Drosophila melanogaster: one gene and its partners. The protein of the gene in region 3 interacts with the protein of the main gene of each other region in a pairwise test. Each region holds a gene or a part of one and is shown on either strand. Other genes may lie near its edges.

Region 1 (8,172 bases), on a different chromosome or scaffold from region 3:
CAAACCCCCGCATCCATTTAATCGTTATCATGTCTGTTCATCATTCAAATATGCACTTGTTAATCGAAACTAAGACGTTAAGCTCACTTTAGTTTCTTCAGTGTGAGCGAAACCCTCTTCCACCCAGTTCCCTCGCTTGATCTCAATATCTCTGTCTCCTTGCTCGTTACCCCCTAATATCGTTAAACCCTTGAGTTCCACGGCTGCATGCGAAGGAAGTGAATATAACTCCGCCTGTTTCCATTTGCGGTATACAAACATTTGTCGATAAATCCAAATCTTGTGCATCCGATGCCCGACATTGGGCGCCAATTATGTCAATAAGGGATAATAGGGATAAACTTCAGTCTTTTGCGGGATTACTTCCCCTGCTCTCTCACATTTGGAAAAGAATATCTATCTCTCCGGACTTTACACGTAGCTTGAAGATTTTTGCACTACACACACACACGAACACCGATCTACCACAAATAACCACAGAGTGCAACCTTAAAAAATAAGGATCGTGAATAGTAAAGAAACACATACGTTTCTTTGATAATTTCGCAAATTTATTGTTTTGTATAAATCTATTTTGTTTCCTTTCATTAGACGGCTTTTATCTTTAAGGTCTCCCTCCATGAAGGAGCAGTAATAAACTTTATTTCGGTTCATACTGCATGTCACGTAGCCTGCGATAATCGCATAGTTTTAGCCACCCACAATCCATATATTTTATGGTGTATATACTCGTATCTAGTTTGTAAGCCGTGTGTGCATGCAAGTTTCAGAGGACGAATTCCAATCGACAATAACGCGTCCATGTCGTGTCGTATTTTAGACGTATTTAGTTCTTTTTAAGCAGTATTCAACGACAGATTTTTGTTGTTTGATACTCTAGGTTAATGTTAAAGGGTCGTCGTGTACGAGTGGAGTCTGCATTTCGTTTGAATCGGCATAAATCCAATAAGTGTGTTGGAAAGATGCATTTTAGATGAGTTCCCGATTAAAGCGAGCAGCAGTGAATCCACTTTTGCAGGACTTCAAGGTGTCGCACCATCTGCCAGTTGACGGCTGGCGGAGATTGTAAATCCTCTCCACTAATCACAATATTCCCTATCATTCTTTGCCCATCTCGTTTGTTCACAGGATATGATACTCTACCAATAGATTCGATGCAGGGTCTGGAGATCAGCAGCCCAGTGGGCGGCGGCGGTGCTGGCGGTGCTCCCGGCAATGGTGGAGCTGTAGGCGGAGCTAGCGGCGGCGGTGGTAACATCGGCGCCATTCCGCCTAGCGGCGCACCAACTTCGCCCTATTCCATGGACATGGACGTTGGCGAGATTGATGCCGGTGCATTGAACTTTGACTTGGACGCCATGCCGACGCCACCCAATGACAACAACAACCTGGCTGCCTGGTACGATACCGATTGTTAGACAAGCCGAGCTAAGGGTAAGGGTCGAGTATCCATTCGACCCCATAACATAAAACACACGAATTCCCATCCCTGCACAATAGCCCTCTTCCACCGGCTTTGATTCCATCCCGGATCCCGGAATCGCGATCACCGAAACTTGACTAGATCAACGAAGGTGTGGATTTTACTTGACAAATACGAGGAGCTGCGGCAGGTCAAAGTTCTGCTTCCAGAACTGAAGTCCGTGGGAGAAGGCTATTTGCTCACACACCATACCCCGCGACAAAGCATACACACACGCATACATGCATAATATTATACATTTATTATAATGCGAACGAAACGGCAAGAAAAACATATTATATGATGCATTACATATTACCCACGTAAACGAAATGGAAAATTAAACAAATGTTTGCAATAGAACTCGTACATTTCCCTTCATATGGCGTTTTTCTTATTTGCTCCACAATTGGGTGCCGCAGAGTCACGGCTTGGAACAACGAGCCCTAAGTTCGAAGTTCGAACCTACTTTAAGATATTTCCAGTTTTCAAAAGTACTTGAAACAGTTTCGTAACAGATTAACGAAGGATGGCTTTATTAATTGAAGCTATACATCTACAGGTGCTTGCCGAACCACTTGTGGTCCACGGGCGAGAGCCAACGGTGGCAGCCGCTGAGGTTGTTCTGGATCACGTACTTCATGGTAAAGGGGTTCTCATTCTGGCGGGTCTGTTCCTCCTCGGCGACGCGCTGTTCGTCGAGCATCTCCTGGGAAACGACGGTGGCCTGGAAGGGCAGCTGGTTGGCCACCTGCTGCAGGAACTGCTTGACCTCAACGAACTCGCACTTGCCGGCTATCTCGACAATGACGCGACCGGCCTTGATGGGGGTCACGTAGTGGTCGATGGCTCCCTTTCCGCCGCCCATCCGTTGGCCCTGGCCCTTCTTAGTGATCGGCTGCCAGGGTGCGGGAACGCGCCATGTGGCGAACATAGTGTTGACGTTCATCTTGCGTCCGATGGTCAAACGCATCATTTCGTAGTGGCCCCAGCGCAGGCGCCCTCCGCCAGTGGCCACGATTGCGTACTGCTTATGGAGCAGCGTGTTGTGCACCATCTCCGGACCGCGCATGTATCGCAGGCGCTTCTGCATCTTTGGCGGACGGATGTTTGGCGGCAGCTGGGGCTGGCGCTCAATGACCCTCAGCTTGGGTCTCTCCGGCTGCTCCACATCTGGGGGTTCCCACATTCATTCATTTATTGCTCTAAATTCATTGTGCACATTTAAATGCAACTACTTACTCTGGTATTTAATAGGCGGAGCGAAATACTTAAGACCGGCTGTGTTGACAATTGCCATGTTGCCCGCTGCAAAGAAAAGTTTAAGTGGTTTGTTGCAAACTGTTATCGGATTGGATGTGGCTAGGCAGGAAGCGCCACTGCAACTTACACGCAAGGCTTTGCTTAAAGAGCTGGGAGACTAACTTTAATGAGAGCATGGTGAGTTTATGTCAAAATATATTACTTATTTATAAAATTGTATTGTGCAAAGATGTGTTGCATCAACGGCCACCGTTGCCAGATCGAGCTAATAAATGTGGTGCTAAAAACATATATCGATAGACCACCGATTGGTCGAGTGAGCTGACGGCCCTGTCCAGACTATGGTTTATTCTTGCAGTTGAAAATGTGCCATATTGCACGTGGAACACAATAATTATGTTATGTATTAAAAACTTCTGAAGTTAACGAAAAATGATTGCTGTACAAACGTTATTCGATTGCAACCGCCATGGCGATATGTTGAAATGGGATGGGAAAAGTGGTGGGTTTCTGAGTGGAAAACCAGGGATGGGTAAGAACGTTTCAGGGTAATGGTCGTTTTACCATCTGGTAACACTGCTCTGCATACACGAAAATAAAATTTTTTTGACTAATCGTGCATGTTTTCGCTCGGTAAAAAAAAAAGCAGGCCGCGCGAGCCCTAGCTAGCTAGACCGCCGCCCTTCCCGTCCCACGAAACGCAGCGCATCGCATCCGGCGTTCCGCGTTTCCACTTGTGTGTTTGTTATGAATATACCGAAGGTGACAACATCGCTTGGTGCCGCCGAAAAGGCGAAACCCGAAAGAGTAGCATCCGTGGCCGCCGCTGCCTTCAATGCGGTCAGCCTGCAGAAGCGCAGCGGCGACGACACCGCCACTCCGGCGGAGGATCCCACGCGCAAGAAGGCCAAGACGGAGCTGCTTCTCGGAACTGGAACGGCAGCGCCCAGTTTGCCCGCCAAAGCGTCGAGCACCGCGCCGCAGCAGCTCCTCTACCAGCGGAGTGGACAGCAGGCTAAGGCGCAGGTAAAAGCTGCGTCGGAGCCGCAGGATGTCGAGACGGCGGACGGCGTCTGGGACGCCCGCGATCAGCAGATCATAGTGTGCAACTTCGGCTCCGGCACTGAGATGGGTGCCATCAAGGCGGAGGACGCTGACAAGCAGAGTGAGTACAGAATCAGCACTCCAAGGAACAGTCAATCTAACCCTTTGCTACACCGAAACACAGCCTTTACCAGCTTTACCAAAAAGGAGGGTGCCTCATCGTCGGCCTCGTCATCATCGTCAACCGCGTCCGTCATTTCCATCGAGCCCAGTGGCTCGGGGCAGGATCATGCTGAAAACTCCGGCAAATCTGAGGACCTCGACTACGTACTGATGCCAGCCAGCGGCGCGGATAGCTCTACATCTGTGGGTAACTCCACCGGAACGGGAACACCAGCAGGAACGCCTATTGGAGCTACTACCTCCACCATTATTTTAAACGCTAACAACGGAACGGCAGGAGTCAGTGGAGCCGGCACCACTACAATCCTCACACAGAAATCCGGTCACACGAACTACAACATCTTCAATACCACGGCCACTGGTAGCCAAACGCCCACTACAACATTGTTAAACCGGGTGAATCTTCACCCCAAGATGAAAACCCAGCTGATGGTTAACGCCAAGAAGCTGTCGGAAGTAACGCAGACCACGGCGAAAGTGTCGATTGGCAACAAGACTATATCGGTGCCGCTGCTCAAGCCGCTGATGAGCGCTAGTGGAGCGGCCACAGCCGGAGGAGCCACGATTGTAGAGAGCAAGCAACTGCTGCAGCCGGGCGGTCAGGTGACTACCGTAATGAGTGCTGCGCAGCAAAGCGGTGGTCAGCAGGTCCACCCGCACGTCCATTCTCATGCACATCACAACTTTACCAAACTTATCAAACGCGGGCCAAAAAATAGCGGCACCATTGTCTCGTTTTCGGGGCTACAGATCAAGCCGGCGAACACCAAAATTGTGGCCACCAAGGTGGTGAGCAAAAAGATGCTGCAACTTCAGCAGCACCAACAACAGATCCAACAGCAGCAGCAGCTTCAGCAGCTGCAGGTGACCAGTGGTGGAGGCCTGGCTCCGCCCACAGGCAGCATAGTGACTATCACCACCACCAACCCCAGCCAAACGTACGCAATGGTTCAGGATTCCGCAACTGTGGGACCTGCGGCCCATTCGGAAGACGATGCGCCAGCGCCTCGAAAGATTACAGCCTACTCGGAGAACCTTCAAAAAATTCTCAACAAGAGCAAGTCCCAGGAATCGACTGGAGGCCCGGAGGAGTTCACCAACATCAACAGCGTGGTGATTAAGCCGCTCGACAAGAATACACTCAATTGTCCACCCAGCTTTAACATCTTTAAGCAGCAGCAGCACTCACAGGCTGCTCAAAGCCAATCAATCTCCGCGGTAGGCAGTGGAGCAGGCACACCCGTGACGTTTACCATGGCTTCGGGGAATGCCTCAGATCTGGCCACCACCTCCACCGTTTCCGTTTCGGCGGGGACCATCTGCATAAACAGTCCGATGATGGGCACGCGGCCAATAATCTCCATTCAGAACAAGAACATATCCCTGGTGCTGTCCAAGACGACCATGGCCCAGCAAAAACCGAAGATGATAACTACAACCACGTTGTCCAGTCAGGCGGCGCTGCAGATGCATCATGCTTTGATTCAGGATTCTAGTGCAGACAAGGCGGGATCTTCTGCAAACTCCGGATCAGCTACCTCGGGAGCTTCAATGCAGCTGAAACTAACGACCGCCAATACGCCCACCAAACTCAGCGTTAGTCTGGCTCCGGACGTAGTCAAGCTGGAAGAAGTTGGCAGCGAATCTAAAGCAAAGCTACTGGTCAAACAGGAGGCGGTTGTGAAGGATAGCACTGGTACTCCGACCAGTGAGGAGCGGGCTGAGGAGATCGGCACGCCGGAGAAGCGTTTGAACGCCAATGCCACAATGACGGCTATTAACCAGGTTCAAAATCAGTCCGCCAATCAAATTCAAATGGCCACATCTACCTCAACTGCCTCGAATCCCAGCACACCCAATCCTACAGTGAACGCCACACCTATGAACAACCAACGCTCGGCAGCGGAGGATAATGCACTTCTAAAGCAACTGCTCCAAAACAACAGCAGCAGTCATAGCCTCAACCAGATAAGCATCACTTCGGCTCACGTTGGTTCCGCCTCAGCTTCGGCACCTCTTTCCGCCCGCAAGGTTATCAACGTACGGGCGCCCAGCATGGGGAAGGTCAGAAGTTTGGAGGATCAACTGGCACGTCCGGTGATTCCTCCGGTGCCCACTGCCACGCAGGCGGCAGGTAGTAGTAGTAGCAGTGGATCTGTGGCCACGTCCACCACCACCACAACAGTAGCTAGCGGAGGAAGCAGCCAACAGGTAGCCACCGCCTCAGCGACGGCTCTACCTGTTAGTGCGGTCGCAATTACCACACCAGGAGTGGGAGGGGAGGCAAAGCTGGAGCAGAAATCCGATCAGCCAGCAGCAATTATGCAGAATCAGAGCCAAAACCAGGCGCCTCCACCACCACCGCCACCACAGCAGCAGCAGCAGCAGCAACTACACCAGCCGCAGCAGCTGCAACCGTCACCCCACCAAGTCAAGCAGACTGTGCAGATTGTGTCGAAGGAGACGTCGTTCATCTCAGGACCCGTTGCTGCTAAAACACTAGTGACGGAAGCCACTTCGAAGCCGGCTGAACTACTACCTCCTCCGCCTTACGAAATGGCCACTGCTCCTATATCGAACGTCACCATATCCATATCCACCAAACAAGCGGCTCCGAAGGAACTGCAGATGAAGCCCAAGGCGGTAGCTATGTCACTACCCATGGAGCAGGGCGACGAATCGCTGCCAGAGCAAGCGGAGCCGCCGCTTCATTCGGAACAGGGAGCTACTGCAGCGGGAGTTGCACCTCACTCCGGAGGTCCCCTTGTGTCTGCGCAATGGACCAATAACCATTTAGAAGGAGGTGTAGCCACCACAAAGATACCGTTCAAGCCTGGAGAGCCTCAAAAACGCAAGCTCCCCATGCACCCACAACTGGACGAAAAGCAGATCCAGCAACAGGCAGAGATTCCCATAAGCACCTCCCTACCAACAACTCCGACTGGACAAGGTACTCCCGACAAAGTACAGCTGATCTCAGCGATTGCCACTTATGTAAAGAAATCCGGTGTCCCGAACGAGGCACAACCCATCCAGAACCAGAGCCAGGGCCAGGTGCAGATGCAGGCGCAAATGCAGGCGACTATGCAAGGACACCTGTCTGGGCAGATGTCCGGACAAATCTCCGGACATGCCGCTGGACAGATACCCGCTCAAATGCATTTGCAAGTACAGCATCAGCTCCATATGGCAGTTCATCCACAGCAGCAGCAGCAGCAACTGCACCAGAACCAACCACAGAATGCGACGATTCCCCTTCCAGTTACTGGACAGGGTGCAGTGCCCATCCCCGTGCCCACCATGGAGAGCAAGGCAGGCGACCAAAGGAAGCGCCGCAAACGTGAGGTCCAGAAGCCGAGGCGCACAAATCTGAACGCCGGACAAGCGGGTGGAGCTCTTAAGGATCTAACAGGTCCACTACCGGCAGGTGCAATGGTCCAACTGGCAGGAATGCCGCCGGGGACCCAGTACATACAAGGCGCGGCATCAGGGACTGGTCATGTGATCACCAGTACCGGACAAGGAGTTACTTTGGGAGGAGTGGGCGCCAGTACTGGAGCCAGTTCCTCGCCCATGCTCAAGAAGCGGGTTCGCAAGTTCTCCAAGGTAGAAGAGGATCACGATGCATTTACCGAGAAGTTGCTGACGCACATCCGCCAAATGCAGCCGCTTCAAGTTCTGGAGCCGCATCTCAATCGCAACTTTCACTTTCTTATCGGGAGCAACGAGACTTCTGGAGGTGGTTCGCCCGCCTCAATGAGTTCTGCGGCTTCTGCCGGATCATCATCGGCTGGAGGAGGAAAGCTGAAGGGCGGATCTCGAGGCTGGCCACTGAGCAGGCATTTGGAAGGTCTGGAGGACTGTGATGGCACCGTTCTCGGCCGCTATGGTCGAGTGAATCTGCCAGGGATACCCTCGTTGTACGATAGCGAACGCTTTGGCGGAAGTAGAGGTCTAGTTGGTGGATCTGCACGAACCCGTTCACCCTCGCCAGCAGAGTCTCCGGGAGCAGAAAAGATGCTACCAATGTCTAGCATCCAAAATGATTTTTATGACCAGGAGTTCTCCACGCATATGGAGCGCAATCCTAGGGAACGCCTGGTGCGGCACATTGGAGCCGTCAAGGATTGCAATTTGGAGACCGTAGACCTGGTGGAGAGCGAGGGCGTAGCTGCGTGGGCGACTCTTCCACGACTTACCCGCTATCCGGGTCTAATACT
Region 2 (8,284 bases), 500 kb from region 3:
GTTCTGTGCTGCTGCGCAATGGTTAACGTTGAGCTGGATGATGTTAATTTCTTCTGGCATCATTTTGACGGCTATTAGCTCCTTTGGTGTTGGCTTTGTAGGTGGGGCATGCAAAACCACCCGTCGCGTGGTTCTTGTCCACGTCACTGCTGCAGATCAGGCATCTTGGTGGGGCTACGCAGCCCTTTGCCTTATGCCCATGCTCGCCGCACCGTAGGCAGCAGTCAGAGCGATCGACTGACTTGCAGTAGGGAGCTCGGTGGCCGAATTCGAGGCATCTGAAGCATCTTATTGGGCGGACGTCTTGGGCTATGCGGCAACGCGACCATCCCACAGTTACAACGCCCCGGTTGATGACCGCAATGGCATCGTTCGCGCACATTAGCACAGAGGCTATCTGGGTCCCGTCACGCCTCCTGCGAAGGCCTCTTACATCCTCTGGTTCCAGGCGGATGCCCTGAAATTGGGAGACCAGGGAATTGTGAAGGTCCTGAGCCGTCGTTGTCTCGTCTAGTCCGCTGCAGATTAGCGCAGTCCTATGCGCGCCCGTGCGAACCGAAGCAATCTCTTTGAGCGTCGCTTCTAGCTCATTTTTAAAGCTGGGGATGACCTCCGAGGCTTTACCTTCTAATTCAAGAAGTAGTTCTCCCTGTTGCGTCCTCCTTATTTTACGCACGTGCTTGCCGAATTCGGTCAGACTCGGTTCTGCTTTCATCTTCCGGAGCATATCCGAGTACGTAACCTCACCCGTTTTTTTCAGGATTAGCGCCTCAGGTTTTTTGCGCAGGCGCTTGGGCTTCACCTTAGCCCATTCCTCGTCCTTGTTAGCGTCCTTGGCGACAGACGCATAACTTTCCGGTTTGGAGTCAGCCGTCGTGGGTAACGCCTTCCCGGTGGATTTCGCGGCAGATCGATGGTTGTCCGTTTTGCGGACCTGCACATTCGGTAATGCCTGTCTGGGTGGCGCCACCTGGCTACGCTTTGTCTTTTCTGCCTCAGTCTGTGTGGCAGTACTCCTTGGTGGGGGCTTCTTGTTGATACCCTCCTGTAACTCAATCGCTCTCTTATTGAGCGCCGATAGGTCCACTAGCACGCCCCTATCCTCGCTGGTTACGTGACGCCTAGTCTCGAACGAGGATAGAATGGCGGTGATCTTGGCTTTCATCATGTCCAGGATGCCCTGCAGGTCCTCATTCTGGAGCGTCGTGGTCAGTTCTGGCGAGCGATGCGGCGATCCTGATGGGGACTTCGCTCCCGCCCTTTGGGCCGGCACGCTGATGAAATCCATTGTCTTCAGGCTTGTGGCTGTCGTGGAGACTGTAGTGGCCAGAGTCTCCACCTCCACAGCTGCACTGCAGTCGCTAGCTTTCGGCGGCGGGGGGCCTGCTTGCTCACCTCCCCCTCCCTGGATTTGGGTTCCGACTCCTCTTATAGGGGATCTCGATAGCCTACCACTCCTCCTAAACGGGTCGTTGGGGTCGGGGGCACTGCCCCCCCCTGTTCTGTCCATCAGATATAAAAGGGGGACTTTGGCTTGTTGGTCCCCAGCGCTCCGTGGGAAATAGAACTAGCTTCAGTTCTTAGGTTATATTTCAAATTTTTGTTCAACTTAATTAGTTCAAATTTGAATTTGAATTCGAATTTCGCGCCCAACGAGCGCGCGGCCGAATGACGATCGCACCGCTGATCTGGCAACGCCAGTCTAACCAGCTCGTCGACTGCGAAAGGTTGGCAATGCTATCAGCTGTATTGTCTGATGCAGCTGATCTGATTTATTACCAGTTTACTGGATCACTCGTGAATTCCGGAACGACACCGTGACGCTCAGAAACGCGGCGCAAACCCCAGAGTGGATTTGCAGGTTTATGTTGCAGTTTACGGCTGACCGGACTCGTATATGACGAAATTCGCGCAGCGCAGCAAAAAGACGTGCGAAATACGCGGGACAATGGATGTGTGTGTGTGTGTGTGTGTGTCTATGTGGAAGGTAAACACATGTCTACTTTGAGGCACAGCAAAAAAAAAAAAATATATATGCAAGTGTCGATGATTTAAGTACATTTATAAGTAGTACGAGCAAAATACGAAATCTATAGCTAGATTGCTTCTTACAACTAAAATCAAGTTTATATCTCAAGGATGTGATATTGTAAGAGAATAGAATACGATTTTTCCCAGTGTGACTTCATCTTCAGCTTATTCCTACCCATCTTGGAGCTGCTGCCATTCATTAATCCACATAGAAATGCCAATGGCAGAGTGAGATGTTGATGGTGAGCTGGTACAGATGGAGATGGAGATGGTGAGGTGATGGTGACCAAAGCGAATGCAAACGAAGGCGGCTGAGGCGGCACAACAACAAAGCGGCCAAGAGGCCTATTAGCCACAATAAAGAGGCAGCCTCACCCCCTTTCGAAATCCCCAATGCTCATACCCCTGGAAATTCTATTATGCAGATGAATGGATGGATATGGGACTAACCATCCGACTGCCTAACTGACTGGGTGTTTGTGTGTTTGCCCCGCCAGATGCCATTACAATGTAAACCCAACAAAAGTTCATTCGGTGGACTTGATGCGGGCATGGATGCGGAGACGTCTTCATCTCATCCACGTACTTCTTCTCCACATATCCGAGGCAGCAGCACTTCCAGCCACCGCAGCGGAACAATTGATCAAATATCATAATTTATCAAATGACAATGCAACAGGCGGCGGCCTCTGAACGTTTACGTTCCCGTATTTGCTTGCCCCAATCCCCACACCAAAGACACCGATCTCCAATTCCCAAATCCCCCCAATCCATTCGAAAGCTACAACTTAATTTATTTGAACAATTTAGGTCTGACACAACAGCCATCGTTTGGCTCTGTCGTGTTCTTTGCGCTTATTTATTTCGATGGTCAGTCGGCTCGAATCTATTTAGCATAATTGCAGCTACGATCAGAACCGAGACCCGAGTCCCGAGATAAAATAATGCATTCTTGTGTGGGGTCTGTGTGTAATCCTAGATAGGGCCACCAGTGGGTCAGATAACCAAATTAAAACAGGCTAGGGAAAATATTGGGACAAACCGATTATTGTTCTATTATGGTAAACTTAGCCATGGCATTAGTTCCAATCGAAATGGGAAGTGCATTCTTCATCGAAGATTGTGCATTCAAATCAAATTGTGTGTCAAGTTTGCTCACAAATTGGTAGGTTTATGGATGCCAGATAGGTTGACAATACTTTTGTATTGGTTAGTTTATGAGCTTTCTTTTCATGGAATAGCCAAAGAATTCGATACAGTAGTCTGCGACTATATGGTCCATCAGAAATCTGTGTATAGCATCTACAATTTTTGTGTTTTGTCAAAAGTGAAATTTAAAGTGATACGTTTGCTGTCTCCTTACTTCATCAACAACCAAATTGCAATGGACAATTATGAGAGGGCCAGAAAACTGCAGGAGGAGGCGGGAGTTCCTCCTGGGGGAATCAAGCGGTGCTGCTGCAACTGCAGGAGAAAGCTGGATCCCTACCAACTGTTTGACGATAATGTGGAGGATATAGCCAAGAGCCTGGCGCAGATAATGCTGATCTGTGGCATCAGCACAAGCAAATCCAGCGCTGCCAGGTCGATAATTAAGAGGGCTTTCGTTTACCATGAACGACTGCGCACCAATTGTCCACCAAATCCGGCTACTGACAGTCGCTTGAATCGGGAGGACCTGCTCCAGGCTCTGCGACTGAAGTGCGAAATGGAACCGGTGGAGGCGATGCTCACCTATGCCATCATCAAGCGGGCCTTTAAGGCCTTCTATCACGGCAAGCCACCGGTGACGATCAGCAATCCCATAGTGGATGCGATGGCGGTGCACACCCAATATGCTGCTTGGATGCATGCGGCGCACAAGACATCCAGGATCTTCGACAACTACAAGGCGGCCTTCTTTTGGGCCCACAAGCACTACGAGAGGCAGATCAATCTGGTTTATGCAGCGCTGTATCAACGGATGACTACCAGATCGGATCCCCTCCTGGTGCCGGGCTGTCCTTGCAAGGGCTGTTCCAAGCAGGAAGTTCCCGGACATCCCAAGGCCGGCCAAAGGCAAATGATGAAGATCAAGCTGTCGGAGGGTGCAGATCTACCAGAACCCTGCATCATCTGTGGCTTGCAAGTTCCGCAAATGGATAAGGAGGTCAGGATGAAGAAGCCACCGCGTCCGATCATCAACCATGAGGTTAATCTACCCAGATGCCAGCAGTGCAATTCGCCCTTCCTCATCTGCGAATGCAACATCGATCAGTTGACGGGCGAGCAGTTTGGCGAATGCGGCCAAGACTCCTACAAGGTGAAGTGGTATCGTCTGGAGGAACCAGTGGCCATTTCCCAACCTGTTTCCCAACCGCTTGGCGAAGAGGAGCAAGATACCAGCTATGATGAAGCTGTGGAACCCCCAGAGGACTGGGACAATCACCATTGTCCCATCGACTGCAAGCACGACTCCTGCAGCGAGTCCTCGAATGTTTGCCACAGCACTTCTTCATCTGCATCTTCGGGCAGTGATTTTGCCACCTGTTCCGACGGCGTGGACAAAGAGGAGGATGTTGTGGCCAAGCTGGAGGATTATCTCAACAAACTGTGGGCCGAGGAGGTGGCTCAGAAGAGGAATCCATCGTATGTGCCGCGAACGATTCATCCTCCTGGTCCGAAGTGTATGAAGTGCAACGACTAATTTTGTACGTTTAAATTTTGGCTATATAAATTATTGAGTGATGAAAAGAGAGCTATTGTTGACCCTTAATAGCCAGAAACAAGTAGTCTAAGTACAGAACGTGTTTTCTCACCTCTGCTACCAAGTTTGGTTCAACGAGCTGCCACCATGCCACCATGCCACCATCCGGGCCACCCACTCCCACACCTGGGGAATCGATCGCCCACACGGGAGCCGGCGCTTATCACACGCCCACAGATCGCGTCTTGACAATGGCCACTTAAAATGCCATTGCCGGTTGTAATCGCCACTAAATTGCTGGCACCTCGGCTTATTCGCGGCTGGAGGACGGAATGGGACGTGGCATTCGATGGGATGGAGCTACTGTTGTCATCGCCGGCTGCTCCGCCCAGCAGCTCCCAGGAGCTTCCACATAAATCGCTGCCTTTATCTAAGCACTTGCATCTCGCGCTGGAACAGAGGCTCCTCCAAGCTGCACCACCAGGATGGTGCGGATCCGCGGATTCGGGCCTGTTCACGCTCCTCGCCGCTTATCAATCTCAGCTCATCTGCACGCAGAACAGAACAGAACCGAACTAAACCAAACTGCAACTAAATGGGCAAAAAGAACCCAAGTCGAAGAACATCTTCTGCGAAAAATAATTCCGCAACTTGTCACATTTTGTAAGATTCAAAGTCGCAGAGACAGGCACTAAACTGCAGACGCCTCTGCGCCAGGGATTCTGGGATGGGCCTGCAATGAAAGGAGTCCTTGACTGTCGGGATTTAACTATTTTTATAGGGTATTCGTAGATAAAGGGGCATACTCGAATGTTAACAGCTACATAAATATAATAATTATTAATGGCAACATATTGATCTTAATTTTATAGATGGTTTATTATTGGTTTAGATTTAAAACTTTGACTTTTTATCATTATCATTCCTGTAGTCGAATCACCCGTGTTTACCCTACATATTTTTGGCTAGGCCTAGACTTCACCCTCGAATTGCCGCCTGCATCTCCATCTGCCTGTCGCTGTGGCATGTTAAACTGGAGTCACATTTGCATATAGATTTATTTTTATGTCCACTGCCTTCGGATGGCTCGTGAACTATTTATGTGTGACGACGATCCAATCGCTTGGGGGAGCGATCTTTGGATGGATCCGCGATCGGTTCTTGCCCAAGAGTTGTGCCATTAAGCGATGCCCATTAAATGTTTGGAAATATTGGAATATCTCTAGATAATGCCACGTCTTGCCAAATTTCTAATTATGATATGCTCACATTGAGTTTCTCTATTAGCCCAGTTTTGATGCGTCTATGTCTGTCTTCCCATTCCAAAAAATTTTTTTTTTTGCTTCGGCATGTGTGTGGTAAACAAAGCTCTCACACTCAATTGAGTGCCACTTTTCGGCTTCGGATGAAACTTGGAGGCAACTTGGTGGAGGCAGTTCAAGAGACGCACGAAACCATTGAACTTTTCAATAGCCATCAAATTTGCGTCTAATGCGAACTGAGACTCGGAAAGTTTCCCGCCATCGTCTTTCAATTTGTTATATCCCTGCATTCAATGCGCACTGCAGCCACTCGAAGTTCACTTTGATAGTTCGAAAATCATTTGCACTCGGAAAATGCATTTGAAGTTTATATATATGAAAAGATAAAACATAAGTTTATCAGATGCCCAAGGCAAGCATTAGAACTTTACAAAATTTCTTTGTGTGTACATGCGGCATCTATCTGCTGCATTGTTGTGGGCCTGAAGCTTAATGGTCTTTTTATAGCTGCTCTTTTTCAACTTCAATTAATGAAGTGTCGAGTTGTTAACACCAAAACACACGCCCAGCTCCCAGTGGTGCAGCCTACTCCCACCGATACCCAATCCCCATGGACCGACCTCTATTTCCAAACATTTCGCCCAGCCGCGGGATGGGAACAAACTTCGCCGCGGCTGCAGGTGGGGGGGGCAGCCGAAAATGTAAACAAACAAATTAAAACGAGCATCGACACGGCAGCTGCAGACTTGGCCTCAGGTGAGAAAACGGGCACACGGAGCCGGGAGTTGGGAAAGCGATGGTCGAAGGGGGGTGGAAAATGCATTTTCACGGCAGCGCCAAAAGCAAACAATCCAGACGGCAGCCGAAGCGGCCAGAAGCTCTTTAATCCCGAAAACTTTGGTAGCACTTAGCGGTTTACGAGGCTGCCGAGCAGGCCCTCAAAGTATTTAGATATCAAAGTGGTAAAGGTGATAAAAAGCCATCCATTCCATCCGCTGCACTTTTGGCGACACTTTGTCGAGATTGAGTTGTTAAAACTGGATGTGTGATTAAAAGTGAAGCTATGACGCTAATTCAACTTTTAGTGGGTAAAGAGGTAAACCCACTCATGGTCTTTAAAATGTAATCCAAAATCTGGTTGACAATTGATTACATCTGGGGTTCCCATGGATAGGAGAAGCCTCTTAGCCCGAACTTCCTATTTATTGATCAGTTAGTACACTTCTCACATCATCCCATTGTGGTTGAGTTTGCTCCGCCGCTTCACGGTGTCCAGCGTGATCCGAAATCAGTGTGGGAAAACAGTTGGAGCGACGTCAACTGAAGCGCCGCTTCCACCTGAAACGCCGAAATAAATGTGGAGAAGGCCGCCGCCAACGCATCCGAGCAGTTGGAGTCCGTGGCCAAGAGCAGTGAGAAAAATGTTAATGATAAACCTGTTTGTCAATTAAACAAAAAATATTGTAATAGTTGATAACAGAATGGGCAAACACGAAGTGCAGTGAGCGGGTGTGAGAGGATGAGAACTTCCCAGAACCCAGAATGGTATATTGTTGGGGCAAACGGGGAGGCAGGGAGGGAGTGGAATTGGGATTGGGATTGGGGCAGGGTATGCAACAAGGGACAACCTGTCAACCCAAAAGGAGGGCCCAAAGGCTGGACTGGCTCGATGTGCTTGACTTTGGTTTCATTATCGCCTCGCCTTCAACTTGAATTTTACCATGTCCCAGGCCCAGTTCGAATCATCATGCACTGCGAGAAACGACAAGTAGCATAGCTATGATAGTGATGATAGGATTTTAAATTGGTTATGACACCTTTGTTTTTCGCAGTGCACTGCCCCATTGGCTTCACTCGGCCAGTTGGCTGCACTGGCTTATTGTTTAGTGAAGCATTTAACTCTTAAATATGCTTGTGTTGTGTGGCAAGAGGAAAAGTGTTTTGTGTGTGTGATACCGTTTTGAAAGACATTCCAAGCTGAGTTGCGGCATGGAGTGGAGTGCAGTGCAGTGCAGCGGTGAGGGGAGAGGGGAGTTGTCAGTTGGAGGGGGGCGAATGGGGAGCATCTCGGGCACTTCACTCGCAGCGCTGTGAAATATTTCCCATGACAATTCTGTTTGTTTTTCGTGCATTGTGTGCTCGGTTGGCACCTCACCTGGACCCAACCCAACCCACTCCACTCCACCCAACTTATCCCACACTTCTGGACCGCCCTGCCTTGTCTCGTCGCCCACTCGCTTGCCTTCGTCGTCATCCCAACCTGCCCGTCGCAGGTTCCCACTCCATCTGCAGCAGCTTCTCATCT
Region 3 (8,364 bases):
GCGCCCTCATGCGTACATCAAAAATCAACGATGTTCAGCTGTAAAAAAGTGCAAAAAATAATATTGTAAAAATATTCGTTCTGTTCCCCCATTTAAAAAGCGGAAAGAGATCTTCATCGAGGTCATGAACTGGGATAAATTAAATATTGGTATGGTATAAAACGTAACCATTTGAATCACGAGTTCAAAAGAATTGAATATCATATAAGCGATTTGTAACCCTATAAAAATATTATACTAATAATTAACCGCTTTATTTGCAATCTATTGGCAGTATAAGGAGCTGGTTCAAATTAGCTTTTCTCACATATTTACACACCTAACTAGGCCCACTTAACAACCACTCGACTGAACGGCACTTTCCGACCACATGGTCCAAACACAAATAAATATGCGAGCCACCACAAAACCACAACTACGAACAAACCACATACACACATGGCCAACTCACAAACCATTAAATGTGTAAATTTCATAAATTAACCAATAAAGTTGGCAATTATTTCCATACACTCGAGAGCAGGCAAAAAAAAAAAAAAAAACGCCGCGTGTGCAATCAAATTAAGTGAAATAAAGTAATAAAATGAGAAGTGGAAAATATTTTCATAAACTGTTTGGCGGCTCGTCGAGTCCCATGAAAACTTTTCGCCCTGCGCTGAATAAAAAATAAAGAAAATAAAAATCCAAGCCAAAAACTTGGCAACTAAAAATCGCTTCATTCTAATTACTTCCGTTCGCGACTCCGCTGAAGGACTTCCGCCAGCAGGACACGTCGTCCAGTCCAAGTTCAAGTTGAAGTTCGGTCTTTTCTCGGCATTTCGAGGCAATGGTAACGCGAGTGGGAGTAGCAGTTGCGAAGGGGGGGGGGCGTGGCGCATAAAACAATCGTTTTGTAATAAAGATGAAAATTTTATTAAAAGATGTCGGAAACAGATGTCGCCGGCAGGACGAGAACGAGAACGAACTCCGAACCCAGAAGCCAGGAGCCAGGAGCCAGAATCTAGAAGCCAGGAGGCAGGAGCAACCCACTGGGCAGCAAAAGCCAACGACAACACACACTTTATAATCTTTTATCGCATTTTTTCTACTTGGCTGACACAAAGAGCGTATTTATGCGACTGTTAACGTTATGAAAAGCCCATAATTTCGCAGCCACCCCGAGAGTTGTGCTCCGGTTTCTCTAGTTGCCGGCGCGTATAATAAAAATAATAAACGTTGTCCTCTGAAAATCGATGGCAAACAGAATTCGCATTCATTTCATGGATGGTGGGCGGGGTGAATGTGATTCGAGTGGACTGGGTTTCGTGGGCGTGGCGGGGACATGGTCGTGGCAGCAGCTGATATCGACAGTTAACTTGGCTGGAATGCTTTTTCTATATCGTCTCTCGCATCGAGTGTCGTGTATAAATGTTTGCGCTTTATTATATTGCCCGGCCACGCCCCCTCCCCCCAACCAGACAGCCAACCCAACCACTCAACCACCCATTTGTGCCCCAACCATCTTGCAGCATCTTGTGACATTTTACCTTTTTTTCGCAGCTGCAGACGATACACGATAATGATATCCATATAATGATGCGACTGTCAGCGGCATTCGATTCGATACCAAATACTCGCCCCAAATATCCATGAAGTTGTTTATTCGAACTGGAGTGGCATGTGGCAGCGCTGACAGAAGGAAGTCTTTGAATTTGGCCAACTGGATTTATCTGCAAGGCTATTTCGCCAGATTGGATGAAGTGAGTTCGAAAAGAAAGCGAGTTCAGTTGTCAGATGCTTCAGGATTAGATGAAGCAGTTGAAAAGATGAGTAATAAGTATGTACAATACAATCATTTTGTGTCCTCGTCTGTTTGTGAAGTGTGTTATCATTTCCCAAAGTAAGTTGGATCTATCTATTCGCTGCCTTTGATCTTTACAGCTGGAATAATATATTTTTTATATATTTTTCTATATTTAACTTATTCTTTGATTTCTTTGATTTCAATCCCAAATGTACCTCCATAATAAATCCAATCAATCCACATTCATCATATATTGCGTTATGAGTGCGAACAATAAGCCCACAATGCCCGGCCAAAAAGCCAAACGTTAGCAGCCCAATAATCCCCACTTCAGACCGACCAACATCATTTACATATTTCCAATTCGGCAAACAAATTAAAAAAATAAAAACGGAAATAAACTCACACCATGGCAACACTCCGAAAAACAATTAAAAGTTTGTCTTCAACACCTTCCACCGCGCGGAAAATGAAAAATGGGGGCAAGGATATATACATATATATTATTGGGGGGGGCTTCCGACAAAAGCCTGTTTCGGTGACCCCTTTCATTTGTCAAAAAGCAGCAGTGACAATGCCAGATGGATCCAAATCCAGAATCTCGAAAGCCGGAGGAAGCTGCACATTCAGCCCACTTATCAAATAATTGTCCTCATATTATGGCGACTACAAAGAGAGATGGAGATAGCGGCTAGGAGAGAGAGAGAGAGAGAGAGAGCGGAGCCGGGGAAATAGTAGAAAATGGAAAATACTCAGCTTCAGCTTCAGCTTCAGTGTCGGTGGCAAATAAAAATGTAAGGACTCTTGAGCGCACACAGACACACACACCACGGGCGGAATCCTTTGCATAAATGATGATGGTATGATGAGAACTTTTAATCATTATTATCACATATTTATACGCTTATATGAGCATGTTTTATGTACTCGCTGCCAGCAGAAGCGGTGGGTGAAGTGGAAATCCTGACGTCCTGGCTGCACGGATACGGGGTAATCCTTTGAGGCGTGCTCCATATGAAAGCAAAAAGCCACAAATGGCAGCGCAAAACAATCTGAGCTGGGGCCTTTGTTATCCTTGTACTTCTTCCTATTGTCGAGGGCACTTCTCCTCCTTTCAGCTCCTTTCAGCATTCTGATGGGAATCGCATTCGAGTGAGGCCACGCCCCTTCGGCGGGCAGGACTCCTTGGGACCCCAGCGCCTGGCACACAGGGGTTGCTCCGTGCTCTCGCCCTCTCTCTCTTTCTGCTCGCACACAATAGAGGCCAAAAGGACACACACATCCTTGCCGCATTCTGCTGTTTATCTAGCTCCTAAGCTTACATAACCGCTGCTCAGCCATTTTCGCATTTACCACGCTTTCGACGCTGAGTAAATAAGTCATCATTGTCGATAAACTCGATTGTCGTCATCAACGGCGACGAGGACAACTAATTTGCGGTCATAATAAAAGTTAATCTACTGACTCCTTGGCCGCTTGTCGGAATTTTTTTTGCTTCCCATGTCTGCAACAAATTGCTCGCACAAATTCAAAAGTCTATGGATGTAGAAGTCCAGTTCAAATAATGTAACTAAATGCCATTACTCTATATCATCAAACTTTGTACATTATTGGGAAAAGTTATTTGTTGAAAGGATCCTTTACGTTAATCAAACATGTGAAACATATTTTCTTTGCCTATGTAATGCTTAGCTTAAACCAGTTGAGAATTATAATAGAAATTGTAGTATAAAAACAAAATAAAATATTTTGTTTCCAGTATAAAATTACATATTTTATATTATAATTAAATGTAAATTAAATGTATTCTAACAATGCGCCCCACTGTGCGGCACCGTGGAATGGCAGCTCAAATTTAATAAGATCGAGCCAAATTCAGTTCAAGGCAGCAAGTGGCAAAGGCAACAAAACAAGAAAATTAAATTTTTATTGTTTTCACGCAAATAAAATCAAATAAAAAGCGAACAACAATAACGAGCAGGCAAAGGCTAAACAGGACACTCACGCACGCACACACACACACTTACGCACGCATACGCTCTCGCAAGGAGAGCGAAACAGAGAGAGGAAGAGAGAGAGAGAGCAGGATGTACATAAGGACTAAGCATCACGTGCCGCACAGACGGCACTTCTACTGGGCAGGAGAAGCGGACCAACCAACGACGAGCAACCCCGTAATCGCACTCCTGGGCACCCGGATGCTGCGTCCTGCGCCTGCCAGGACATTCTGCCAACCGAGTTCAGTTCGAATTGAGCACTCGACGCGAACGCGACAACTGGCGGATACAGACGAGAACTGAATCGGTACGTGTACGGATACTAGAGACTACGGAAATATAGAGCAGCCAGCTCCGTCGCGTTATGTCTACGGCCTTCCTCGTGGACAGTCTCCTGCACGCCCAGCAGACCTACACGGAAAGCCAGCTGAAGTCCAGCCTGAGCGAGATGCTCCTATCGCGTCGGTCGGCCACGGGAACGGATGCCGCGGATCCGGCTGACCAGCCCACCGAGTCCTGTGGCTGCTCCAAGTTGCGCGGCTACAAGTGTGATAAGTGCCGCGAAATCCGTGCCGAGAGTGTAGAAAGCATCGAGGAGATGGACGAGGACGATGGTTCCTCCTCGGCGGACGAAATAGTCGCCGATATTGGCAGTGTCGAGGGCGAGGAGCCGCACATGGACCTGGACGAGGAGCTGGAAGAGGAGCTGGCCGACGTGGACGAGCCCGTGTCAATCAAATTGCCCAAGGTGGAGCCCAAGGAGACCAGCATGCCGACCGTCGGCAACACCATCCTCAAGGATACCAACAGCAAGCCCATTCTCAAGTTCAGTGTCAGCGCGATCCTTGGCGACACCCGGGAAGGAGTCCGTGTCAGAAATGGTAAGACATGGTTGGCAACTAGCAATTTTAGCTTAGTAGTATGCCTTGAGGTGCTGATGATCTTTGCTTCTCTTTCAATGTTGTTTTCACTGGAACCCCTAAGATTAAATTTTGTAATTACCTTGGGCCCCTCCAATTCTGAAGTCGATGAGATAGTTTCCTCCAATTAGGTTTACGCCGCGGGCTGCTTCAAAGAATGTTATAAAAAGGCTTGGCAATTAATTTGTCGTGGCTAATGCCGAATAAAAACAAAATACCGAACACAATTGCAATATGAAAAGCCAAAAGAATAACAAATCTGGCCCAAAAGTTTACGCAGACTCCTCGCGAGGGTAGAACGCAAAGTACTGGTACTTCGCAGTTGCTTTAGTTTTTACGCCGCGACTTTATTGTGTGTTGGCCTAAGTCCTCGGGGCGTTTCACCGCTGATCCTGCAGGCTGTAAAAACACAGCCAGGCCTAATCATGTTTAAATTATTGAGCCAAGCCCCTGAGCACAAAGCCGCATAACCAGTTCGTCCCATCCACATCCGCACTTCCGCACTTCCGCCAGGATCTGCATGGGATATGGTGCGAAGGATCTGCATGGGATATGGTGCGAAGGATCCTCTGCCGCGTGCTGCTTACAACGGGGGATGAGAATGAGAATGGGAATCCCTATGCCAGATAGGACATGGAAAAGGTCCTGGGGGCGGGGGACAGAAGGTAGGCGTAACCAATTGGCCATCAGTCAATGTAACAGCTCTGCCTTGGCCGTTTTTTAGTTGTATTGTTCTCTTGTATTTCTGGGGATTGTGGGATTTAATTGTCATGTGATTATGGCATCGCGGCTTACTTTCCATATTAATGAGTGGGCAGGACCTTTCGATTTCCCGTATTTTATCACTATTTTTTATGAGATTTTATTGGCGATATTTTGGGGTTAAATCGTACTGTTTTTTATGATCAAAGCGTGGCAAAAAATTTAGAAATGGTACGAAATATGACTATTATTAGGTATTATATTAGAACCAGAATAGCATAAGTAACTTTTAATGTCTTAATAACGCAGCCATTAGGTATCCCCTCCACACACACACACACTTTCTAACTTATTCTGTCCATTAATCTCCTCCGCATATTCCAACTAATTGCCATCACATTTCAATCAATAATCCACTTAGCACATTTTCCCCTCGAAATGTGAACGGCTTTTTGCCCAAGAGTATGCCACAAATGAACTTTTTTGCAGGGCCATAAACCAATAAGTCGAAAAACTTGCCACATTTTGGGAGCACAGATGCAGATACAGAAAAGTCGGTAAACCGCCGACGAACAAAACAAACAAAAGCGAACAATTATAACTTAATTTGTGCGCTCATTAGGCACACATGTGCCACACACACACACACACACACATTCCTACACTCCTACACACACAAGGACAATCAAGGATGCCATATGGAAATGGAAATTTTCGGTGCTCCGCAGAGCAAAATGCCGTTGGCCACAGGAGTCAAAAGCATCGGATTGAACGCGCACACAATGTCGAAACTAAAGAGGCGTTAATTCGTTAATTGTTTCAGTTCTCTAATCGAATTAAAATCATATCCTGGATATCCTGCAGCCACTGCCAGCCTGTCAGGCTGAGCGGGGGCGGGGCAAATCAAAATGGGGAGAAGCCGCCATGGCGGCTGCCTTTTTGGGGTGTTTAATTAGAAAATGAAATGCAGCCACGCAGGGGTCCAAGGGCGAGATTCCATCCCCCGATATCCTTCCCATACAAATGGGGATGCAGCATATCCTTCAAAGGCGCCAAACTTTGCTCTCAAGGTGCGAGCTCCTGTGTCTGTCTGTCTGCCTGTCTGTCTCTATGTCTGTGTGTGCGTAAAGTCCTTTATCCCGGGGATCTTGTGTTTGCTTTAATTATGCCAACTTCACACTGACACTTCAAAGCAGATTTCATTTCCCATTGTCTGCGCCGGCGTGTGTGTGAGTGTGTGTGTGTGGTGATGGGGGGTGGCATTCGGGGGCCATGGCGCCTGTCTGGAAATTCGCAAGACAGCACATAACGCGCTTCAACGACTCCTTGAGAATGAGCCAAGTCTCGGGGCACGATAACGACTTTGGCAGATTGTTTTCAAGGCTGACAATCTGACACTTCAAAGTGGTTTTAAGCACAGAAGACTGAGAATTAATTAGCATACAACCAATGTTAAGTTGAAGGGATACATCAAGTTACTATAATTTCCTTTATTAAGTTTGATTAAATGCTAATCTCTAGTTTTTCCAAGTGCCTCCATTTTGGACAGCGCTTTAGTGACTCACTCGCCACTAATGGTGCCGCCACTTCTTCTCCACAGAGTTCATGCAACCGCAGCATATATGGCCTTATCTGCAGCAAAACTTCATGCAGCAGCACTCGCATCAATATCAGCAACACCATCAGCAGCAGCAGCCGCATTCCCACCCGCAACACCAGCCGCTGGCAGTGCCAGGACATCAGCACTCGCATCCGCATTCGCATCACCATCATCATCACCATCCGGGGGCGGGGCACGCCCACTTTCCGCATCCCGCATTTCTAACGCATCAACTGCCGCCGCATCAGCATCACCAGCAGCAGCAGCATGTACAGCAGCAACATCCCGGCAATAGTTGTCAACCGCAAACCGCATCCTCGTCGTCGTCACCTGGCAGCACAATTAGTGATAGCGACAACAATCACGGCGCATCGACTGCCAATGGCAATGGCAGTGGCACTGGCAATTCTGGCCAGGATGCTCGACCGCACGAGCTGGCGAATTCAAATCCCGACGAGGATAGCAGCGCCAGTCGAAGATTAACGCAAGACAAGCAACAGCAGCAGCAGTTGCTGGGCGCCGGAGGAACAGGAGGAGGAGGTGGTGGTGGCCATGGCCATGGACACCCGACGCCGCCGCCACCGCCTCCTCCGCCGGTGATTGCCAAGCCCATGCCCAGCCGCCCCACGCCCTTCCTGCCGCACACCCTCAACCACCCGCACCTTCACTCGTTGCTGGCGCACTGTCGCAATCCCTACATGAGTGGTAAGATATTCCAAAAGGATTGCTATTAAAATTATTTTATACATATAAAATGGATTTCTTCAAAAATATAGTAAATATATCCTTAGAATAATCTAATAGATTCAATTTCTCAAATTCAAGAGTTAATTTCCAAGTGTAATGCCCCTAATGGTCGAATATATCAAATGTCACATCCCCAACCAGAGTCCACAGCCACCCGCTGTGCCCATTAACAAGTGTTTTGGTCTAATGCATTTCCTCTTTCCTCTTCCCCTCCCTCCATCGGCAACAATTGCAGTTGGCGCCCAAGTGTTCCCCCTGCCTCCTGGCCAGGGATTCCCCTGGGCCCATTCGACGCGTGGCAAGCCTCGCCGTGGAATGATGCGGCGTGCCGTCTTCTCAGGTGCGTAGTTGGGGCATCCATTCCCGAAGGGGTTCATCTAATGGTCGCCCTCATTGCAGATTCCCAGAGGAAGGGGCTGGAGAAGCGGTTCCAGCAGCAGAAGTACATCAGCAAGCCGGACCGCAAGAAACTGGCCGAGAGACTGGGATTGAAGGATTCTCAGGTGAGACGAGTTATATGTTCATAATGGCTGATATTACACAGCTATGGAGCAATGAATCATGTGGTTAATCACGCCGAATTTCGTTTATATAACCCAAGTGATTGGGGATTAT
Region 4 (7,732 bases), about 18 Mb from region 3:
AGGAAGTCGAGCCAGAGGAAGTCGAGCCGGAGGAAGTTGACCCAGAGGAAGTCGATCCGGAGGAAGTCGAGCCCGAGGAAGTCGAACCAGAGGAAGACGTCGAAGTTCCATCGCTTTGCGTGGGATTGCAGCAGAGGAACTTGGGCTCCAACCCGTTTACGCAGGATCCGAGGTTCTCGTTGAAGTAGTAGTTGGTGGGGCAGCTCTCCACGGCCTTCTGAACGCCGTTCACGCAGTATAGGTAATCAGAGCAATTGGTTGCCGAGTAGGCGTTTACAAAGGTCGCAGTGGTGCCCACACATCTGTCGCAGTCGTTCCTCGCTTCCATCCTGGTCACACACGCCTTCGAGATGGTATCATAGTAGTATCCCGAGGGGCAGGTCATCAGCTGATAGTTGCCGGCGGAGCACAGGTAGTACTGGTTGCACGCGGTGGCTGCGATCGTTGCTCCCGACGAGGAGCATGTGGTCGGAGCAGACACTCCGGTCAGGGATGGATCATTGGTGACCTGGGCGCAGGATGAGGCCATCTTGTAGCCGCAGTTGCTGGCCTGCACATTGAATACTAGACCATCTTCGCAGGATCCCGAGTGCAGAACGTTGTCCTGGCAGAAGTTCCAGCCACTGCAGTCGGAAGGGCTTCCAAAGTAAAAGCCATTCTTGACAAGATTGCATAGGTTGAGGGCGACCGACACAGTGGAGCCATCACCGGCGGACTCGCTGCATGGATAGTTGTTCTTGTACACACAGGCCATTGTGGTGGGATTGAAGTTCTCGCCGGCAGGACAATTGCCCCTCACAGCGCCGGAGGCTCCGCAGTAGTAGTAGCCGCCGCAGGACGAACTGGATGCCGCGAAGGATCCCACCGCCTTGCCCAGACAGGGATCGGAGTTGCTGGTGCAGGTGCTCGGCACAGTGCCCGTGCACTGCTGGGCATTCTTGTCGAAGTAGTAGCCCTGGGGACAGGACATGGCCGTGAACGAGGATCCCTGGCACTGGTAGTAGGTCGAGCAGTCCGACTGGCTGGCCACGTAGTTCCCATTGCTGACCAGCAGGCACAAGGCGGTGACATTCACATCGGCTATTGCTGGAGCGGCACAGGCGATCACCAGCGCCACGGCAGCGAGGATGGTTGCTTTTTGTCCACCTGGAAGCGTTGAATATATTCATATGATGTTCCAATTTTTCCTGTTTCGAACTTTTATATGCGATACCCACCCATTATTTGCTTCTTCTTTTGGTGGCTCCTAGTTGAATACTGTTTCTGGTTGATGGACTTCCTGGGCTTTTATTTGCAGTCCAGCCAGGAGTTATCTTCGATCCGCTGGGCTGTCCAAGTTGATCGACGACCCTTCAGCTCAGGAACCCATTTTGTGATGTATCGCAAGCGAAGCCAACGAACCATTTTTGCATGATCGATGGCCATTTTGACAAGTCAACAAAGTTTTTGTGGGGATAAGAACTTTCCCAGAACTCAGACGGATAGAAATTTGGGTTCTTTTTATTAACTCAAATGTATTTTTTAGACTGCGTTTCTATAATTGGAATATTAAAAAGTTAATGTGTAAATAAAAGAGCAATAAAGAATTACATCGTGCTCTAAACTTATAACAGAGTTCGCATTTTAAAGCTAACGACTTTATAATTGTTATAATTGTTTAACCAAATGTATATACTTGATTAAATTTGAATGAGTTTTTTACCGAATTATATAATTCAAGTAGTACCATATCAAGAAGTTCTCCAAATATGGTCCTTTCTATTTTTTTTTTCAAACAAATCAATTAAACGAAATGAGATTAGAGTAATCTAAATTAGCTTAAAATTACCTACATATTATATGGCAAAACCCACACACTTTGTTTTTAATAATATTGACTAATTGTGGCGATTCCTAGACATATTTGTTACTATCGGAACAGAAAAGTTGGACTTATGTGGTAAAGCCCAATTGACTTTAAAAAAACAAGTAAGCTAGTGTAGTTCCTCGACTTTAAGATACTCAGTACTCATTTGAAGGGAGTTCAAGGACACTAGATTTTTTATATGTGGTTTACTTGTTGTAGCATACCTATACACCAAGTAATTTTCACATCAATCTTCTATATTCTTATACAATAGTATCTTTCCTTTCAACGAACACTCTGTACACTCATTTACTCTACGACTATCAGGTACAATTAAAACCGACGATCGGCAGATTATTTCATAAAGTTAGTTTAATCGTAAATAATTTCACAATAATGTATAATTTTAAACAGTAATCTCAATAAGTATGTATGTCAGTAAGAATCGGTCATCGTGGACTATTAATAGCATAATGTCGTGTGCACCTGAGTCAGCAGATCGCAGGCGATAAACATAATAACATTTGATTTTGAAATAAAGTTAATTACTATATGTGTAATAAATTAAATTAGACCCAATCTAAAGATAGTAATTATAAACAAGCGGATACGAATTCGACAACGAATACTACCAAAAAACCAAAGGTATGACCGCACAAGTTGACAAAAATAAAAACAAATTGGGTTTTAAATGAACTGCGCACCGGCGTTGGCCAAGTTTATCACTTGTCAAATTTGGATTTAACCGAATCTGATAAAAGTGAAATATGAATACGTCATGCGTCCATTTTAGCCACTGAAGACAGTTCTAGACTAACTTAGAGCTTCCAAAATTTACAGACCTTTCGGAAAACCCAAAAGTAGCGAGGGCATAAGCATTGTCTTTCGATTTGTATTTATTGGCGAACTTGGATGGCATCCAGTTAGACGTTCTTTTCCTCGTTAGCCGTTAAGAGGTACTTGTATCTTTGGAATACTAAAAGTTTGCTGAACTCGAGATGGGTGAGTATCTCTGGCACTAGCAGATATCCATCGAAGTAACTATATTGTTGTTTCGAGAAGAATTACCATTTCATAGACAGATATAAATATAGAAAACCGTAGACTTAGGCTCAAGAAGTTCATAACGAAAACTCAAACATTTATTGAAAAAAAAATATGCAATTTAAATCGAAATTGAAAGCATACTTCACTTGCAACTTATTTCGAATATCGTACTTATACCCTTTTATGCAAAACAGACACAAAGCTCGCCTTCATTTCCGGACTCATCATGATCCCCACGATATCAGGCGCCCTGACCTTCAATGCAACTCTAATATGTAGCTTGGTGGTCAACGGAACCAAGATGAACGATCCTCGGGCGTGCAACGCGTGGATTCAGTGCATCGATGGGAGCCCTGTGAGTGGTAGCTGTGCGACTGGACTCTTCTACGACCGGGAGAGCCAGAAATGCCTGAGTTCCAGTAGTATCAAGTGTCTGTCCAGTGATCCGTGCGCTGCTCTGCCCACCGGATTCGCGGCTGATCCGTACTCCTGCAATGGTTATTACTATTGCAAGGATGGCAAGGGGACGCACGGAGTGTGCAACACTGGGATGAATTTCAATTCGGGAACGCAGGACTGCATCCGCGATTTTCCGTGCTCGAATAAAATGGACCCGGATAGCTATTGCAACATCTTGCCGGATGGGGTCTTCGTCAAGGACACGGACAACTGCAATGGCTATCAGTTGTGCTGGGATGGCCAGGTGATCAATGGAACCTGTCCGGGCACCTTCTACTTCAAGGCCTCCACGGCCCAGTGCGATTATCCGCAGAATGTGGAGTGTGACTTCGTCCCAGTGCCAGATATTAGCAAGAAGGGTGTATGTCCAGAGACGGGTGGATTTATATCGGATAACAAGACCTGCAATGGCTACTACTACTGCAAGGATTTGGGCAATGGAGAGTTCTCGCTGGAGCATGGCGTCTGCTCCGATGGAAGATTTTTCCTGGCCACCGATGGCGGAGCCTGTGTCCCGCGATCCAAGGTGAAATGCGGCTACGATCGATGCGTGGGCTTGGGCAATTCCACCATTCAGCTGGCCAACGAGTCGGATGATGGCTGCAGGGGCTACTCGATCTGCCAGGATGGCATCGTCATTGGCCAAGGAACTTGTCCGCAGGACGAGTACTTCGACGAAATAACCCAACGGTGCACCACCCAGGTCATATCATATACCGCCTGTCAGATATCGGAGGCAACCACCGGGTCCCAAGTTCCAAGTGGCACCACCACCACCACCAGCAGCACCATCACTAGCACCACCATTGCGGTCCCGGTGTCGTGAGCAGCTCCTCATAAGTATAAGTAGTGCTGTTATCAGGCCCAAGTCCCATACAAATTATAGATCAGCTCTTTGTTTAGATTTCGTGGAATTGATCACAATACAAACATCTGAATTTTCAAATGTATTTAGGTATAAAAAGATTATTTCGAAAAGCTTAGTTGTACGATTAAAAGTTGACTCATTTGTGAACCATCCGAGCCATAATATAATCTTATCCCGCCTGCCAGAAAACGTCGGCTGATGAATGGCACTATCAGCAATATTTTGGTCTCGTGAGCGACGTACGCAATCAGTTTTAATTAGACAGTTTGTTTTTTCGACGCCGATACAATAAATATAAGTGGTGTAATCAGGCGCAATAACGATTAAGTTACCAGATCACCTCTGGGCCAAGATTTCCTTGAATCGATTGCCGAGCAAGACACTCGGTAACGTGAAACCGTGATGTCATACTCAAGAACACCACTTGGAAATTTGGCGATGGGAAAGTACCAGGGAGGTAGCCATTGGATCCCATTCATGGCCCATACATGGGTGATATCACCGTTTTTAACAACTGCAATAGGAGATTTGAATGGAAAAGTACGAAGTTATCGTACTACAAAGTTGATTATTCAAACCACTTTATTCATTAGGCACCATATATGTACATGTACATATGTCTATGAGGTGTCATAACAAGATAACTTATATTATTGAGTTTTTCGGAATTTGTTATCGTTATTTGTTATGATCAATAAATACTAATACATTATAGCGAGGCTGCAAAGTTGCCCCGTTTGTCATTTGAATACTTGACCTTTCCTACATACAAATCAATCATCCGCCCTGTGGACTTGTATAACTTCCTTCTTAAAGTGGACATAATTGATTTCTATGGAGAACGAAAGCGCGTCGATGCATTTCATTTGCATTTCACACTCATACAATATTTGTGGACCTAATGGGTAACATCGACCCTAATAGTTGAATTTAATTAGTGATAGACAAAAACGACCCTTGGGCGTTGGATACTTCTTGCTCGCCTGATGGCCAACACGGAAATAAGCGATCGCGGCAGCTCCGAGTAGCGAATTCATTATCTGGACTATCTGGAATCGGTTTGAAATTCTCCGAACCCTCCACTGGGGTACAATTTTAATTAAAACTGATAATTTTTTGGGCACTGCAAGTGTCACGAAAACAGATTGCCAAATATGAATCGTTGTGTGGCGCAGTTTTGATATCAAAAGGGTTGCCAGAAGAATTTTATCACGCCAACTTCGTTTCGCTAATGAACATTTCCGCCAATGTAGTTCAAAAATCAGTCCAAAAAATCATAGTATTTCTCTAGCATTATTTATACCAATTCATATTTTATTGTTCAAGGTTAGGGTAACATCTTCTATAAAGAGGAAGCAGACGGTAAAATTCGAATGGAAAGGGAATAAAACTACAATAGAGCCAAATGCAATGGATAAACTATATATATATACATTTCAGGTTTCAATGGAGTAACACATTTATTGGACATTTTTCGAGAAGCTAATATTTGTAGACCCATTTCCATGGTAAAAAGTAAATGGATGAATGTCATAAAACTTAACACTTCCCACCACAAAGTACATGAATTCCTTTCAAGCAATGCATTTGACCTCCACCATGAATTGGATCGATTTATTGGATATTTAAATTGGATGCGATTTGGTAAGGATTGTGGTAAGGATGCGATCTTCTGGGACAGCCTACACGGAACATGCGATGTTGTGGTAGTTGGTCTGTGTGCATCCCTGGTTGCGCTCGTCGAAGTAGTAGCCCGTTGGGCACTGGCCCAGGCTGACGGTCACTCCGCCGGAGCAACGTCCATAGCTCTGGCAATCGCCGGCGACGTTTACGTAGGTGATGTTGGTGCCCACACACCTGTCCAGCTGGCAGCGTACGTTAAGTCTGTCGCGGCACGAGAGCTTCTCGAAGTCGAAGTACTGGCCAAGTGGACAGCTCAGGTGCTTGGGCTCCGTGTCGTGCTTGCCGGCGACGGGGCTGCCACAGATATAGTAGTGGGAGCAGGACTCGTCGTCGGCAAAGTAGCCAACGCGAGCGGATCCGGTGGCACTGTCCAGGCAGAAGGTGTTTTCCGGTTCCGGCAGGGCGGCACTCTCGTAGCAGGACACCTCAGCCACATCCACGCAGTAGCCGAGATTAGCATCGTAGGCACTGGCCACTGGACAGGCTCGGCTGTGCAAGACCTCGCTGACGCACTCGTAGTACTGGTCACAGTGGACGGGATCGGCCAGACGGGTGTTGTTCGGCAGGGATCGGCAGGCGGGACTGGTCTTCTTCGTCTGGCTGATGGGGCAACGGTACTGCTTTTCGTACACGCAAGACCTCGATACGGGATGGAAGATCAGCTCGTTGGGACAGTTGGCCTTGATCTGCTTGTGCGACTTGCACAAGATGTAGCCGCGACAATCGCTGCTGCTGGGATCCACGATGAAGGCGCCTTCCGTTTCGTTGGCGCACAGGTTCGTGGCCTTGTCCGCAATGCTGTCGGCATAGGGACACACCGCGGCGCTGGAGGATGCCAGGATGCAGCGGCCTAGCTCCTTGTTGTAGTTGAGTCCTGCGGCACAGCCGCCCTGCTCCAGCACGCTGTAGTTGCTGGCGCACCGCACCCAGTTGTCGCAGGTATTCGGTCGCAGGAAGCTTGTCTCCTGCGGCAGCAGGTCGCACATCTCGGCCACCGATAGGTATTCAAAGTCCTCGATCACGCCGCCCAGGGCGCTGGCCACAAACAGCAGCGACAGGACACCGCTAGCTGCAAGTAAAATCGAAAATCGTGGGAACATTGTGTCAGGAACAGGATGGCATATCCAGTGTGCTTTACCATTTATTAACCCCAAACATGTGAGTCAATTTTTAAATTTAAACTACGATAGCTGGTACGAAAATTACCCTTCTGCCAGAAAGCCCTATCAACTTAAAAACTTAATGTTTGAATTTAATTTATATGTACATTTTTAAAGAGCAATTCTTTCAAACGAAATCCATCACTGTCAATGTTCAGCTGGCGTCCCACTTTAGTTTACCTCTATTCATGTTTTATATCCTTTGGTTAACTTGTATCCTGGTTTCTCGAACGCCCCGCTGCGATCTTGGCGGCACTCACAACTCAAATGATACTGCACCTTCGGAGGCTGGAGCTCTTAAATATGCAAAGGCCATTCTGCTCGGTTTTGTTCGGCGAAAAACAATTTCCAAAATGCACACGCTATCTCAATCAGAACTCCAAGATAGCGCTGATTTTTCGTTCTTCGATTTTTGATTTACTGATGTACGATAGCGGGGCCGCATGTAAATTACACGGCAATAACATCGGAATTGCCTATTTCGCAGAAGAACAGACTCCTGTGGTGGCGGTGGTATCGCATCGGATTGATAAGGGAATTGCATATGTCACGCCAAGATCTCCAAGATCTCAGCGCCATTGACGGTTCTCGAACATCTGAGAAACGCTGGAATAGTCATCTACAGACCGAACTCCCAATCTCATCGAATATCTTAATTCGGAGTTCGGA

Evidence for each region.
Region 1: the proteins of Dbx (region 3) and trr interact in a two-hybrid assay, tested with the Drosophila melanogaster proteins (one large-scale study listed by BioGRID).
Region 2: the proteins of Dbx (region 3) and CG9173 interact in a two-hybrid assay, tested with the Drosophila melanogaster proteins (one large-scale study listed by BioGRID).
Region 4: the proteins of Dbx (region 3) and CG6996 interact in a two-hybrid assay, tested with the Drosophila melanogaster proteins (one large-scale study listed by BioGRID).

Annotation. Positions count from the first base shown.
Region 1 is NC_004354.4:1,885,076-1,893,247, reverse strand, and holds the start of trr (trithorax-related), read left to right. Parts: upstream 1-3,297; 5' UTR 3,298-3,472; coding exon 3,473-8,172. Other genes in the region: arm (armadillo), read left to right, coding at 1,129-1,418; mRpL16 (mitochondrial ribosomal protein L16), read right to left, coding at 2,019-2,635, 2,705-2,770, 2,853-2,901. UniProt on the Drosophila melanogaster protein: Histone methyltransferase that acts as a coactivator for the ecdysone receptor during development. Specifically trimethylates 'Lys-4' of histone H3, a specific tag for epigenetic transcriptional activation.
Region 2 is NT_037436.4:1,418,494-1,426,777, reverse strand, and holds CG9173 (uncharacterized protein), read left to right. Parts: upstream 1-3,306; 5' UTR 3,307-3,415; coding exon 3,416-4,717; 3' UTR 4,718-5,579; downstream 5,580-8,284.
Region 3 is NT_037436.4:1,917,271-1,925,634, forward strand, and holds the start of Dbx (Dbx), read left to right. Parts: upstream 1-4,036; 5' UTR 4,037-4,144; coding exon 4,145-4,661; intron 4,662-7,002; coding exon 7,003-7,707; intron 7,708-7,984; coding exon 7,985-8,089; intron 8,090-8,148; coding exon 8,149-8,252; intron 8,253-8,364.
Region 4 is NT_037436.4:20,204,781-20,212,512, forward strand, and holds CG6996 (uncharacterized protein), read left to right. Parts: upstream 1-2,753; 5' UTR 2,754-2,844; coding exon 2,845-2,848; intron 2,849-3,085; exon of another isoform or gene 3,086-3,087; coding exon 3,088-4,178; 3' UTR 4,179-4,820; downstream 4,821-7,732. Other genes in the region: CG7290 (uncharacterized protein), read right to left, coding at 1-1,146, 1,218-1,221; CG7017 (uncharacterized protein), read right to left, coding at 5,903-6,972, 7,244-7,253.